Diceros bicornis minor: one gene and its partner. The protein of the gene in region 1 binds, or shares a complex with, the protein of each later gene. Links are inferred from orthologs where the notes say so. Each region holds a gene or a part of one and is shown on either strand. Other genes may lie near its edges.

What was found. The genes of interacting proteins can lie anywhere in the genome.
Region 2: the proteins of LRRC7 (region 1) and CAMK2A are in contact, whole or in part, in a crystal structure (PDB 6X5G), measured with the Homo sapiens proteins. The link is inferred for Diceros bicornis minor from reciprocal best matches to the Homo sapiens genes LRRC7 and CAMK2A. Residues at the interface, in NP_001357714.1 of Homo sapiens: His843, Gly844, Arg845, Arg846, Pro847, Leu848, Ile849, Arg850, Gln851, Asp852, Arg853, Ile854, Val855; in NP_001350919.1 of Homo sapiens: Glu96, Phe98, Glu99, Ile101, Val102, Lys137, Glu139, Leu159, Phe173, Ala174, Gly175, Thr176, Pro177, Gly178, Tyr179, Leu180, Ile205, Gly209, Tyr210, Pro211, Pro212, Phe213, Trp214, Tyr222, Gln224, Pro233, Glu236.

What each region holds. Positions count from the first base shown.
Region 1 is NC_080743.1:8,009,780-8,017,831, reverse strand, and holds the start of LRRC7 (leucine-rich repeat-containing protein 7), read right to left. Parts: upstream 3,011-8,052; coding exon 2,914-3,010; intron 1-2,913.
Region 2 is NC_080740.1:67,297,433-67,304,690, forward strand, and holds the start of CAMK2A (calcium/calmodulin-dependent protein kinase type II subunit alpha), read right to left. Parts: upstream 3,040-7,258; 5' UTR 2,197-3,039; coding exon 2,135-2,196; intron 1-2,134. UniProt on the Homo sapiens protein: Calcium/calmodulin-dependent protein kinase that functions autonomously after Ca(2+)/calmodulin-binding and autophosphorylation, and is involved in various processes, such as synaptic plasticity, neurotransmitter release and long-term potentiation.

The DNA of each region.
Region 1 (8,052 bases):
CTTTCTTTGCATTTGGAGGATCCTTTGGACTGAATCAAGTTCCACTATTCCTTTCAATTCTCGGCTAAGGGAGGCCACTACCATTTGGTTTTCTGTGATGATTTCCTAAAGTGGCAGCTTCCCATGGGAGTTGACCAACAAGTCTTGGTCTAAATCTCATATTGAATTGGTAGAATCCTAGGGGAAGCATGCCATTATGTGAGACAAATTACTATCTAACATGAATTACTGTCTAACACTGCTGCTAGAATTTCAGCTTTACGTCATTTGTTTACAACCCGTTCCTTGCTAGGCATTATTGCTTCTAAAAATAGTGGTGGTAATTTCTGTAGATTTTCATTTCAGTGATCAGAAACATGTTTTATTATCCCCAAACAAATGGTTAGCTTGAAACAAAAAAGAACAATAATAACAAGTGAAAAGAAAGAGAGAAGAAAGAAAACTATGTCTCAAGGTCTGTACGAAGTACTTAATATAAATATCTCCTTTAATGCTTAAAACAACCCTACAAGGCATGCTCTATCATTATCCTCATTTTTCAGACAAGTAAACTGAGTCTTAGATTAAAAAAATAATACCCAGTGTCCTACAGCTGGTCACATTAAGTGTCACATTAGAGAATAATGTGTAAGTCTGAAATTCATGTCTTAATTAGCCACCATGATATGCTGTTCCTATTCTAAAAAGAAGGCTTCTTTCTTAAGGAATTAACATTGGTGTGTAATAGGACGAGAACAACTGTTCATCATACTAACAAGGGATAATGAAGACCATTCTGGCAGAGAAATAACATTTTACAGGTTTCTCATTTTCCACTGCATCATTCCATGTTCAATAGCATAGGCAATCCAGCTGAGTTCCTGAAGTCATATTTCAAAAATTGCTCTGACTGTCACAATGCAATTGATGAGAATTTGTTTGTTATAACACAAATAGTTATATTATGAACCTTACATTAGACAACAATAAGACTTAACTCTGAAATACGCCTATCATCATTAGTCTTTTGTATCCAGGATGATTTAATATCATCTGCAGCCAGTCATTTGACTTAGGATAGTGGTTTTCAAACTTGAGTTTGCATCAGAATCTCCCATAGGGCTTCTTCAAAACACAAATTACTGGACTCCACTCTCAGAGGTTTTAATTCAGTAGATGTGGGTTCCAGCCCTTAAAGTTTGCATTTCTAACAAGTTCCCAAATGCTGCTGCTACTGGTGGTCTGGAGACCACACTTTGAGAACCACGGGCCCAGACCAGGCTTTAAAAGCTTTTTCCATAAAGAACTGGGTAAATACTTTTGGCTTTGTGGACCATATAGTGTCTATCACAACTACTCAATGCTTCCCTTGTAGTACAAAAGCAGCCGGACACAATACCTAAATAAATAGGAGATGGCTGTGTTTCAATAAAATTTGTTTTACAGGAACAGGTTTCAGGCTGGATTTGGTCAGTGGATGATAGTTGGTCAATCTCTGGCCTAAACCAACTCAGTACAAGAGGCCTGAAAAATCGCTTTATGTTAAATAGCAACTTTGTGAGAATCAACTATAGATTTATGAATAAACTCTCTTCTAAGGTTTTAAATAAAATCTGCAGAACTCTACCAGAGACTAAGCTGATTGTGTTAAAGCATAAGCATAAGAGTAGAGGAGAAACCCCAAAGCTTTTCCATGAACTCTGCAAAAAAGTGATACTTTTATGCAAGAATCTGCATCTTATACATAGTTTTTGTTCTACGATGCCCATGAACTCTATCTTTTTTGTCAAATTTTAGTTTTATTTGGATATTGCTTATAATGTCAGAAGCTATAAATCTACCGTTTAAAAGAAAACTGACACTACATTAAATGACACAGATGCTAACTCAATCAGGTTATCTAACGAGCTTATAACAAAGTATAACAAAACAAAAACACTCTACTTGTCATGAGTGTGCTCAGCGTTAAAGTATTTGTCTTTATCCAGAACGGTATACTTCAAACTAATTTAAAATGCCCATGTAATCTTAAAAGTTTGCTAAACTGTATATGCAAGTGAACCCACTGCATTAGCTCTATCCTTATAAAGTGTAAGTTCCTGTAAGAAGACACAATTCAGACAAATTTTTGTCATAACAGAATGTAATTTAGTTCCCTTAAAATAATTATACACAAATAACATCAGGAAAGCTAGTATTATCAGTCATTTTATAAACTCACTTATAATGCAAGTATTATGTCAAACATCTCCAACAATGCTACAGACTAGAAATATTTAAATAAAACCTCTAGAGACAATTATATATTCTAATATGATAATAATTTGAAAATTAACTAAAATGACTCCGTGGCGGGATACATGACTTCCATCTTCCAAAATCTTTTCCTAAATTCACTTAAATCAAATGTTTAACTTTGACCAATGGGTTTATATTTACCCCTAGATATTTAGTCTTTAGTCTAATGCTAGACTTTAGTGGTTTTCAAAGAGTCCTCAATTAAAAAAAAAATTTCTGAAAGAGCATTGTGGTCAAACGGAACTGGAAAATGTTGACTTTGAAAACATTTTAAAGTTTTTTCCACATCAGGACTCCTCAGAAACATTGATATTCATGGCACAAATATCTAAGAAAGATGTGGTACATTGTGCAGCCTTTCCCTATCTCATTTGAACACGGAACCCAATCATCAGTAGAGCATCTTAAAGTATAAGAGGAATGCTTATGAAGAAATGAAGAAAACAGTGTTCTTCATGCTTGAATCCAGATAGCAGGTGATAATGTGCGTTTGAAAATAAATTCAACTAGATTCAAAAAATATTTATTAAGTACCCCTATGATTTGACTAATCACATAAAGGTTAACTCTTTAGTTTTATCATGCTACTCACCAAAATCTATCTAGAACATAGTTACTCCTATTAAACATACTTACACTCCTCTTCAGGCCTCTTCCGAAGTGCTGCGCGAACTTCTTTACAAGGACTTCTCTGATATTGTGGGGGATTCCTTCCCCTTATTAGATTCTCCATCCTATAAGAGAAAATCAAAAGAGTATTTTAATACCAAAATCTTCATAAATTTTGACGAGTTAAATGGTCTAAATCAAGAGTCAATAATTCAAGCACCTACAGAGGCTTGGTGGACAATGCCATTGAGAGTATCTAGCAGGGAGTAAGAGAGTAGGAAGTAGCAGGGACTGTGGTAAACCAGACAGTGCTTGACTTTTCCTAGGCATTCCAATTTTAAAAATGTAAGAACACATGTGGACAAAACTCATATGCACATCCTCCAATTAAGACTGTGATGGACTGAATGTTTATGTCCTGCCCAAACCCCCCACCATTCATATGTTGAAGCCCTGACCCCTAATGTAATGGTATTTGGTGGTGAAACTGTTGGGAGGTCATTAGGTTTAGATGAGGTCCAAAGGGTGGAGAGCCCTTGATGGGATTAGTGTCCTCACAAGAGGAAGAGAGACCAGATCTCATGGGTGCACCATCTCTCTCTCTCTTTCTCTCTGCCATATGAGGACACAGTGAGAAGGTGGTTATCAGCAAACCAGGAAGAGGGCTCTCGCCAGGAAGTGAATCTTCTGGTACCTTGATTTTAGACTTCCCAGCCTCCAGAACTGTGAGAAATAAATGTCTGCTGTTTAAGCCACCCAGTCTGTGGTATTTTGTTATAGCAGCCTCAGCTGACTAAGGCGGAGACCTATTGACTAAAGAGTGATTATTTTTAAAGCAAACAAATTTATCAAAAATCAGGTCACCCTTCAGAAGAAGGAATATATATTTCAATAACACTCTGAATATCAGTTTTCAAGGAATGGAATTGCTGCTGTCCTTCCATGCTAATGACTAAATTTGGACGGGTTTTCTAATTCTAATAATTGTGACTTCTTGAAAAAGTGGTTGATACAAAGTGTACTTCTCTGTTGCTAGCGACTTGGCAATGCTGACAACCACAAAATAATAATAAATGCATCACATGCAACTTGGGTTAGCATATTTAACAGCACATACCTTATGGTCAGTATTTTTTGGTTTCAGTAAACCTTACAGTTTCGTGCCACCAATGCACAATCTACTCATTTTGATAACATTGAAAAACTGTTGAGTGTTCAGAATTTAAAAATTCAGAACAAAACCATGATATTGATTGATCACTTTGAAAATATAAACATAGCTTCTGAACATCTACATAATTATTCTAATGGGACATCACTGGTATTGACAACTGTGCTGGCTGATAGCATATATACCATGGAAAACAGTATGATTATTACCCTTATGGTGGTAGAGGGTCTCCTAACATTAGTGGTGCAGAGGATTTTGTTTCTGGTGTCTAGAGAGGAAACTGAGGAAGGATAATCCAATAAAAGCAATATTTAAAATGGTGTAAAATATGACATAAATAGCCTTTAGTACTGGAATAGTAACATACTCTTCCTATGGGAAGCTGTCACTGGTTCTTAGAAACACTTTTACAAATATACTTCCTGAAATCAATATATTCATACGTAGGGGCTGCTTTACTTGTGTGTGTGTGTGTGTGTGTGTGTGTGTGTGTACACTCATGTCCCCACACTTGTGTGTATAAAAATCTTTCTCAATGAGCAATGAAGATAACTTTAAGCTTAGTTTCACTTGAAGCTCATTTCAAGTGAGAAAAAGAGTTATTTCTCTCAAAGTTATGATAATACAATGACAAGAAACCAAGTGAAAAACTGAAGAGTTGAAGACATAATTTGCTTTAACACTATATATGGGGGGAAATTAAGCTTCCAGGACTGTCCCTACAGTTTCACTATGAGGAAGAGCTGTGCAAATTAAGTTATATAAAATTTTCTAGTTTCTGACTCTCAAATAAATTCAACGCACAATTTTGATTATGTTTCAGCAAACGCATTAATTTCCATGATGATCTAATAACAACTTAAATGAACTTATAATTATTCCCTGGTATTTATAAGCTCAAGATAGCAAAATACAACAAACATAACCTGCATATGCAAATGTCTAGATAAAATTGTGATATAATTTTAAAAACCAATTTTTACTTATCGTGAGTGACTGCACTCTGATGAGGAATAACAATTTATCCTGGTTGGAAATCTATGTGTAAACCACTCTCTTGGATAGGCTATTATTTTTCCTTTTATATATCTATCAAATATGTGAAAACGAAAATAGTCTACTTGATTTCCATGTAACTCTATTTGAGAGAATGTCAGAAAAACTGAAAAACAGGTTAGAAAGTACTTCCAGGGATCCAGGAAAGTTTCACTTATATGGTTGCTATTGGCGTCAAAGATCCCCAAGTCAACCCCCTAGGAATCATGGTGCCCAAAGGTTGCATCCTGGGGATGTTCACAAGCAGATATGCAAGAGATCAGGCAATGTTAGCAATGTAGCATGCTTTCAATGTGATGAGTCTAGGTTCTGGAATCAGACGCCTGGGCTCAAACTCCCATTCTGTCTCTTAAAGGATGATTTTAGGGAAAGATACCTACTTTGTGCTTTAATTTTTTCATCTGTAAATGAAGATAACATTAACTACCTCATAACATTGTTGTGAGGATTAAATATGTTAATACATGTAAAATGGTTTGCATTGTATCTCTCACAATGCAAGAGCTCAGCAAACGTAGCTATTATTAACCATAATTATCCCAAATAAAAATGAAATCATATACTAAAATTTTAAATGTCCAATATGTTGGGAAAAATATGAAAAGTCGCCTTTATTTAATAAAGAAAAAGAACAGATGGCACTGTTGAGAAAAAAATTCTGTCTAAACAAATGTTCTGGTTATTAGAAAAACACAAAACATCTATGCACATGAATTGCCAACTTAAGAAATAAAGAACTCAAAAAAATATACCTCATTGTATTCAGTAAGATTTAAGGGATTACTATACGACAATCTTCCAAGGATACTAACATGGATAGAAGTGGGTGGTTACCCTCATGAATTAACTAAAGTGCTAAATAACTTATTCTTTCTTAGAGAATTTAGAAGCTATCTCAAAATTTTATACTGCCCTTTGACTTTAGCAAGAACAATGAATATATCTTATAACGTATTACCATTTATCATTTATTCTATTTAATCTTTACAACAACCTTCTGAAAGAACATTTTGAAGATGAAGAAGCTAAGGCTCTGAAATGTTCAGTAACCTGATTGTGGCCACACAGGAAGGAAGAGGCTCAACTGAGACTTAATCAAGGTTCTCTGATTTTTTAATCTTTTTCTAGATGCTTCTTAATCCATTATTTCCATGAGTCTATGATTATTTATTATAATTCCACTAGGAGACTGAATACTTGAGATTCTACTTTCATACATATTTAATTTTGATTAAATTCTTATTATATACAACATTAATATTTATATTAACATATACTTGTATATAAATAGTATATATTAGAGATATAAATATAATACTATACAAATATATATATTTGCATATATATTGATCTGCTGATTATATGCTGATTTTTAATCATTTAGCTATTTTCACAGAAATATTTGTTTCTATTGGTGACATTTTAAGCTTTTGAGAACCACCAAAAAGATAAGTGAGGCATAAGAAACCAACTATAAATTATATATACAACACACTAACAGAAGAAAAAATTTAAAAATCGCTTTCAAAGCCCTTTTGTTCTTTGGAATGCTAAATGTTATGCCCAGTGGAAAATAAAGTTTGAATCAAATTAAAAGTTTTACAGAGCAATGTTCATGTTCAAACAATTATATAGCTGCGAGACTTCCATCTTCCTCAGATTTACACTTCTGGCTGCTTGAACTCTTCCACCAGTATCATCTATGATCTACAGTTTGCATTAAATGGTCAGACAAAATGACCAAGAATGAAGTCTTGGAGCACAGCCAGGACACAGCAAAGGAGCTGTTCTAGCTACTCTCAAAGTTTGCAAGGCACCAGCGGAAGTGTGTTAACAATTACAGCAAGGAGAGATTAAGTGTGATGACCACAGGGAAGACAGATACTCGAACAACTCATTGAAGAGCTCTAAAAAGTGCAGCCTACATGTCAACTGCTGGGAAGAAATAGGGGCAGCCAGATTAATATCAAACAGCACGAAAAAGCAATCAGAGGTTATGAGCAAAGGTATCCACAACTTTCTTGGTGGTGTCTCCCAAACTTAGGTCACAAAATCTCCTGAGGAGCTTTAATCGAATCCAGATTCCACCATTCCCATTACTAAAGATTTCCATCCAGTAAACTGGGGTCAGATTTAGGTAGATGTATTTTTTCATAGTAATCAAGTGCTTCTAAAGTAGCCTTACACTGGTGCAAATACTGGTATTTAGGAACCCCTGTAAATAAAAAATATATACTTGGAGACGTAAGAAAGGGAAGTTCAATGAATTCATCCCAGGAGATAAAGTCATCTGCTGATACAGAAGTGAGGTGAGGGCCTGGTGAGGACACTGCAGTTAGGACAGGTACCATCAAAAATGAAAAGAGTAGCCAAAGAGGTACTGTCAAAGGCTTACCAAGTTGTCTGGAGGTCAATCAGATGAACCTGGAGGCTACTTATTTATAAGGCTGATAATCTCAATAGTGAAATGATTTCCTCCAACAAGATTTGGTAGACTCGGCTGGATCAGAGAACAAGTTTGGGTTGATCTAGGATTGTGGATTGAGTTGGGGATGTGGCTAAGGAATGAAGGAAGTGAAGCTTGAGTGAAAATATCGTTGAAATGGATTTACACTGGACGGAGGAGGAAGAGGGAGAATGACTGAGTCACTGGAGGGCAAGGGAGTTGGATTAAGAGACTAGAGGTATCAAGTATAGGTATTTCTAAAATGCGTATGGTGTGCCAGACACTATGTTAGGTTCTTTATATATATATTATCTATGTCATTCTTATTGTATCCATGGCTAATCTGAGGCCTAGAGATGTTAAATAACTTGCTTAAGGATCACATAGCCAGTAAGTGCAAAAATCAGAATTTAAAACCAGACCTGTCTGACTCCAGAGCGTATGCTATTAATGACTATACAGACTATGAGAACTTTCTGTGATGATGAAAATG
Region 2 (7,258 bases), on another chromosome or scaffold:
GCCGTGGCCACACCAGGGCTCCCCGTCCCCAGAAATTCTGCCCCTGCCCCAGTCCCTGCCAGGCACCCTGGCAGGCACTGGGGCTGAGAAGGCTCACGAAAGCTCTCTCTACCAAGTCGCCCCCACAGCACCCAGTCTTAATGATATCCATCTCCTCTTGGGGCAAAATATCACTTTTATTTTCACTTTGAGGGCCTGAGTCACATCTCAACTCCATTTCCCTGCACTCTGTGACGCAGTCCTGCCAGAGCCCAGCCTTGGTCGCTCCCTGAAAGGCAGCTCCCAGCTCGTCAGGGAATCCTCGGCTCCGGTGGGCACCGGAAACCGGCTGAGAACGGGTCCCTACATGAGTTGAGCAGACAGCCCCTGTCCTCCAGAGCAGCCCTAAATATTTTGTTCCTGCTGTCCCCCCCACCCTCAGCACAAAAATATACTCAGAAAGACCAGGAAGTCTGCAGAAGAGTGAGCACACATCTGCACATGGATGTGTGTCTGTACAAGGGAACTAGTGTGTGCCTGTAGATGTCAGGATAGACTGGTGTGCAAGTGCGTGCGTGTGTGTGTGTGTGTGTGTGCAGGCAGCCTACTTGTACACAGCCACAGGCCCACCTCCCACACATATGCAGACACCAGCATGAGCTCCACATGCCTACAGCACCCACACTCCCACCCGAGCCTGGGGACCCAGGCCCCACATGCACACACACAAATCTTCCTGTGTGCATGCCCCCAGTCCTCACAGATGTGCGTATCCAGACCTCACAGGACACCACCGTGTCCAAGTCCCACAGAGATATATGTGCATCCTTATACAGACATATATTTGCACACACCCAGACCTCACACACGTTTGCCAGCTGATGTGCACACAGCTCCGAACTGCCATACATGTGCACACACTGTGACACGTTTACACCTTCACTCCCATGCAAATTAGCCAACAGCACCCCTTGTGCCACTCACACACATCCACCCTTGCAGGGCACACTTGCATTTTCAGGCCTTACACATGAAGCACACACCAGCACCTCCTCGTGGTGCACACACATGAACACTTACACACCTTTTCAGTGCACACAAGTGTACCCGAGTCAGTCCTTATACAACAATACACATCAAAATGCACACTTGTGTGTGCACATCCAGACCTCACACCAGCACATACCTACTTACAGGGCCCCTCTTCCCTGCACTCCAGCTGCTACAGCGGGGACCACCCAGGCCACTGAAGCTGCTCTGCCCACAGGGCAAACTCTGCCTGGAAACTGTACCCCTACCCTGGATCCAGCCCGAATCCTCCACGCACCTTGGTGGGGGCATCCAGGAACGCTTCCCTGACACTCCACAGCCGACTGGGCTACCCCAAGGGGCTCCCCTCTCCCCCATCCTCCCACCCTTCTCTCCACACCAGTCATTGGAGGCAGGAAATGAGCGCTGGGGCTGGACAACTTGGCCAAGGGACCAGAGCTGGTGCATCCTCACGCCACTAGCCCCTGCACCAGCAGTGCCCCCTCCAACTAGCCAGATTGCCCCTCCCCTCCTCCACAGGCCCAGGAAGCCTCATCAGTTGCTCAGTTATTAACCCCTGCTGTACTGATGCCCTCACTTCCAGAGGAGCTGGGAGGAGGAGGAGGGAGGCAAGGGGACGTGCTTACAGGGAGAGTTGGCCACTCTGCGCAGCCGCTGCAGGTGTCTAAAGTCAGGAAGGACTACCTGGGAGGTAGTGAACTCTGTCACCAGACATATCCAAGTTGAGGCCAGATGGCCACCTCAAGAGAAACTCGACAGGGGATTCCAGCCTTGGACTCAGCTGATTGGGAAGATCTCTTTTTAACCCTGAGTTTCTAAGAATTCGTGTGTGCCCAGGTGATGTGCACTCATGTGTGTGTGCATGAGCACACTGACATGCATTGTCAACCCTTTGCCCCTATATACACATGCCTGGCTGGCCTCGGCACATTGGTGCACCCGCAAACATGCCCACACCCGGCACTGGGCACCCCGCACATGCAAGTGCCCCCAAACACACGCAGCCTTCCTCCCTGTGTGTGCACAGGAAGCATTGCAGGTGCACACTCCCCGCTCATGACGCTGACCCCCTGCACCCTCTGGGACTCTCTGAGGTGCAACTCACTTTCCCAGTTCCTCGAAGAGCTGGTACTCTTCCGTGAAGCGGGTGCAGGTGATGGTGGCCATCCCGGCGCTGGGAGGGCAGGCGAGGCTCGGGGGTGGAGGACCAGGACTGGGTCGCTGCTGCTCTGCTCCCGGAACTAGGGGCCACTCGCCTGCCCCTGCTGCCGAGTGCAAACTGAGAACCAGCTTGACTGACGAGCCCGGGGCTTCTGAACAGGGCACTGTGGCTGCTCACAGCCTCGCGAGCCTTCGTCAGCATCCAGGTCCCCATGGCAACCACCTCCGAAACGCCCTGTTCCCGTTGCCCCGGTAACTGCCTCCCCAACACCTGCCTGCCTTCCACTGCGAAACCTGCTCCTGGACGCCCTGGCCCTACTGCACACAATACTGCAGACCTGTGTGTGTCTGGGGGTGGATGGACCCAGCTCCCCCAAGGTGATGGACCAAGGGAGGGGCTGGAGGAGGGGGAGGAGAACAAACTTAGTCCACAAGTGATCTTCTCTCTCCCCACCTCCCCCACCTCCAACTGTGGGGCCCTTGTAGCAGACAGGATGGGATTAAGTGGGGCAAAAAGGCAGTTGCCATGGTAACAGCCAGTGGCTGCCACATTCCGGGATGGTCCCCAGAAAAGACAGGATGCAGTTACCCTGGCAACTTCTTCTCCTCTGGAGAGACAGGTATTGCCCCGTTGCCCTGACAACAGCTGGGTTCTAAGGTTTACAGGGAACCTATAGCTAATTCATTGGGATCTCTCTCTCTAAGTGGATCACTGCAGTCTCTGTAACTGTCTCTCTGCTCCTCTCCGTATATTTTTGTTTTTTTTTTTTTTGCCTCCACCTCTGTCTTTATTTTGCTCTCACTCTCTCTGCTCTTTGCCATCTTGTCCATCACACTGAGACTCTAGCTTGGGGGAGAAGTGCAGAGGAGACACCAGGATTCTGCAGGGAACAGCCCTAGCTGCCCGCCCACCCCCACCCCTCACGGCTGTGACAGTTGGTGGCCTCCTGGGGCCTCTTCCGTAACCTCGCCCCCACCCCAGGCCTCCAGAGGGACCAGGGAGATCTGGTCTCCTGTGGCTCATGTCCCAGTTTCTGCTTGTGCTTCGAGTCAAGGTGAAAGAGCTGGAGGCGGCCGTGGGGAGGGAAGCACGGCCTGGCATGGAGGGGAGTGGCCACAGACCTGCCCTGAAATCCGCATTCCCAAATTTTGTGGACACTTTCCCTGCCAACTTCAACTCTTCAGGGCAGCTGCCATATCTATGGCCCCAAGATCTCACTCCAAGGCCTGAACGGTTGAGAAGGAGAAGGACTGGAGTTTAAGGATCCGAGTTCAATTCTAGCTCTGACATTTTTTAGCTGTGTGACCCTGGGAAAGTCACTGCCCTTCTCTGAGCCTCCAGCTCCTTTTCTACAAAACAGAACAAAGCTGCCGCTGCAGAGGAAGGCTGTGAAGATAGAGTGGGCTAAGGGCTGTGGAGGCCTTTGTACGTAAACACAGGCCTCTTTTTCGTTTCTAGAAGAGGAAAAGGAAAGTCTAAAGGGGGACGATGACCACCTCCATCACTCCAGCGTGGACTTAGAATCTCAGACCCTTCACACCCACCGCCTCCACTCAAGCTCATCTCACAGCCCACCAGGCTGAGGTCTCGTGCCAGCAGTGGCCCACGAGCACAGATCAGATAAAAAGATCCAGGATCCAACCCCACCCCTTCTGAACCTCCAAATTGCCTTATTGCTCACCTCATTTGCTGGACACCTTGTCTGCTTGTTGGTAATCCCCAACCCAGCAGGTCCCTGACTCACGACCCTAGGTCCAGGGGCCCCTGAGACGTCTGGGGCCCCCTCACAACTCTGCCCCTCTACTTGGGAGTCGGGGGTGGGAGAGGATGAGGGGGTTGGCTCTCCAATGCAGCCACTTCTTCCCAGGAGAGAAACGGGAGGGAGGCAGAGGGGGAGGAAGGGCGGCGAGCAAGAGAGGGGGTAATGGCTCAGCCACTAATTGCACCATTACCACCTTCAGAAAAAGGAAAAACCACTCAGTTTTGTTTCTGTGCACAATATGCTTTCCGCTTCTGCCGCCAACGTTGCAATTCAGAGGCAGAGAAGAGAGGCCCGTGCTCAGGGGCTGCACAGCCAGTGGGCAGCGGGTAGAGCACAGAACACCCCTAGAGGCTAGGGGCTGACACACTGTAAATGCTCAATTATTATTATTGAGAGACTCAAAAATCCCTCCCTCTTCCCACCACTCTCTGAATTTTGGAAGTACACACCACTATCTTCAAGTCCCAGGACATTCTCTGAGTCCCCACTGGAATCGAGCTTGCGGTTTGAACATCACCTTGCCTGGACCTGGTTTGCAGAAATGCCTGTGGAACAAAGGGCTGGGGCTACAGGGAGAGGGGTCACGAGGCCTCCAGCTCATCAGGTGCCAACACAACGCTGCTTTAGAAATTAACAAGTAAAACATAAGGCAAATATGCCCAGAGGCTGTATTAATGGGAATCTAATGTTCTGAGCAAAGGAGGTGATAGCCCTGCTTGGTTTGGAGCTCACTGACCGCTTCACTGATGACATGGAGCATGTTCAGAAGAGAGCAGAGCACATGGGGGGAGCTCCGGCCATCAGGTCACAGGAAGAGCTAGCGGTGACTCAGAGGAGGACTTGAAGGGGCGGAGGCGTAGACGGCCAGCTCTCTCCCTGTCTCTGATGGGGACCACGAAGGTGGCCTATGTGGCTTCAGAGGGCAAGACCAACCCAGCCCCATCCACCCATCACCCCAGTCACCCGTCTCTCTTCTCCCTGAGTTCCACCTACCTTTTCAGCTCTCCTTTCTCCTCTCCTTCCTCTCTCTCACTTTTCCCCGTTTTCTTCCTTCCCTCCATCGTGCCCTTCCTTCTCAGTCCTACCTATCCTTCCTAGTCCATTTCACCCCTATTCTTGTTTCTATCTCCCTTCCTTTCTGTCTTGGTATCTGTCACCCTTCTCTCCCTCCGCGTGCTGGCCTGGACCCTGTGCACACAGTGCTGGAGGATGGGCAGGACCCAGGCTGCAGGATCCTGCTGGTGGAGAGATGGCCGCAGAGGAGGGAGAAGAGGAAAAGGTCTCATCGGCAACTCCAACGCACGCGCACATACACACCTCTGAACCTTTGAGAACCTAGCGCAGGGTGTGGGCACTGCCTCAGACGGGCACCCCCATCCTGGTGTAACTGCCACCCTGCCGAAGAGGCACGGTCGCTAATTCACTGCCTCCCCTGTGCCCGCGAGGCTGAGGCTGGCAGCTGTGCCTGGCGGTGGCGGGCAGCGAGGAGCCAGCCCTGCCTCCGTGGCGCTCAGAGAATGAGCGATGACTGCATCAGGGGGACTGTTCCTGCCAGACTCCCCACTCCCTAGGGCCATGGCAGGCATGCAAGCCAGCACGTGTGCCCCCATCTGCAACACGTGTGTGGTACCCAAGAGCCGGCCTGCCTGCCACAGGCTGGTGGGCAGGGGTGGGGGCCCTGGAGGTGGCTGAGCATGGCCCTGTACCATAGGCTATACCCCACGTAGACACGGAGGGACACACGGGCCCAGGGCCAAGTTCCTGGGCCATGGCAGGGGAGTGGGTGAGTGACTGCAGCCCCAGTAGCATTGTGACAGCTGACTCAAATCCCACCTTCCACAGCCCACACACATGCTCGCATGCACGTGCCCGAGTGCCCCAGGGTCCTGCAGGTCCTGGGCAGGCGCCACAGAAAACGTGCCATCCGAAGGGTCCCCACAGGCCTGTCCCACTAAGGGCAGTGAGCGTGGGGAGCAGAATCGGTGGAAAGTGGGCCAAGAGAGAACTGATCCTGCAGAGGGGCTAGGTGGAGGGTGATTTGGTTAACTAATTGCAATAAGTAACGCCAGGCTTGCACCCTGAAGGGAGAGAAGTCAGGGGTCAGGGAGCACCACACAGGAGGCACTGGAAGCAGGGAGCCAAGGGGCAGAGGACAACGGCTGCTGGGCCAGCATCTGCACAGCACAACCTGCAGCGGGAGGACCCCGGTTCAAGTTCTGCCATCGGCTCTGAGTACTTACAGCAGGTCTTTCTCCAGCTGGGGCCTCCACTTCCTCCTGAGAAATATGGGGACAAGATGTTCCTTCACTCACTCCAAGGACATGAGAAATAGTTATTTCCACTTTAGAGCCAGGCCCTGTGCTGAGCGCTATTTATACATTTGTCCACAACAAATGTGCGTGGACAGGTACAACGTTGCCCGTTTTGCAGAGATGTGATGTGTCTTACCCATCTAGAGTCTGTGACTTCAGCACCCCCACCCTGTGTTCTTTGGCCTCCCTAAGGGCTGGAAGGGCCCTAAGAGAGCCCATGCCCCTTACAGATGGGGGACTGAGGCCCAGAGAGAGGATGCTGCCCTCCCGCAGTCGCACAAGTCAGGGGCAGAGTCAGTATGACAATCTGGAACTCCTGACTCCCAGAACAGTGCTCCTTCCCTTACCCTGTGCTGCCCTCCCTCTTTATGGCACTGCACGGCTACTTGCCTAGGTCCCAAGGTAGCCAGCAGGCACCAAGTGAGAGGAGGAAATGGTGCCAAGGCCCAGGGTAGAGCTCAGAGCCCTGCCCCTCCAGCCAGGTCTAGGGTGCTCTCCTGGCTCCTGGGGGACTGCTCATCCCTGCCCAGAACTCCACAGGCAGGGCCCAGCTCAGGCAGGGCTGCCCGTGGCTCCAACCCATCTGGCTGACAGATCTGCTGCCATCTGGCCCAGCCAATGGGGAAAGAGGGGGCCTGGCTGGCATCTCTGGGCTCCACTCCCCCAGATCTATGACCCAAGAGGCCAGAGCTACCTCTGGTCTGCCCTGCCTCTCACCCTTCCCCACCATAGATGGTGAAAGCATCTGCCTGGCACTGCCAGTCAGGGGTCTGACACAGAGCCCAGACTCAGGTGCCCCAGCTGGGAGGCATGGAGGGGCCACAGGAGGTAGGTGGGAGCCACGCTGATGGCTGGGCAGAGCAGAAGCCACAGCAAGCAGGCTGAGCCCCTCATCACCACACCCTGAGTCCTCGTCGCTCCTCATCCAGAGACCCTCCACCCGTCTCGGGCCCGGGCCAGCTGCCAGCACCCTGGTTAGGCAGGCTTGGGGAC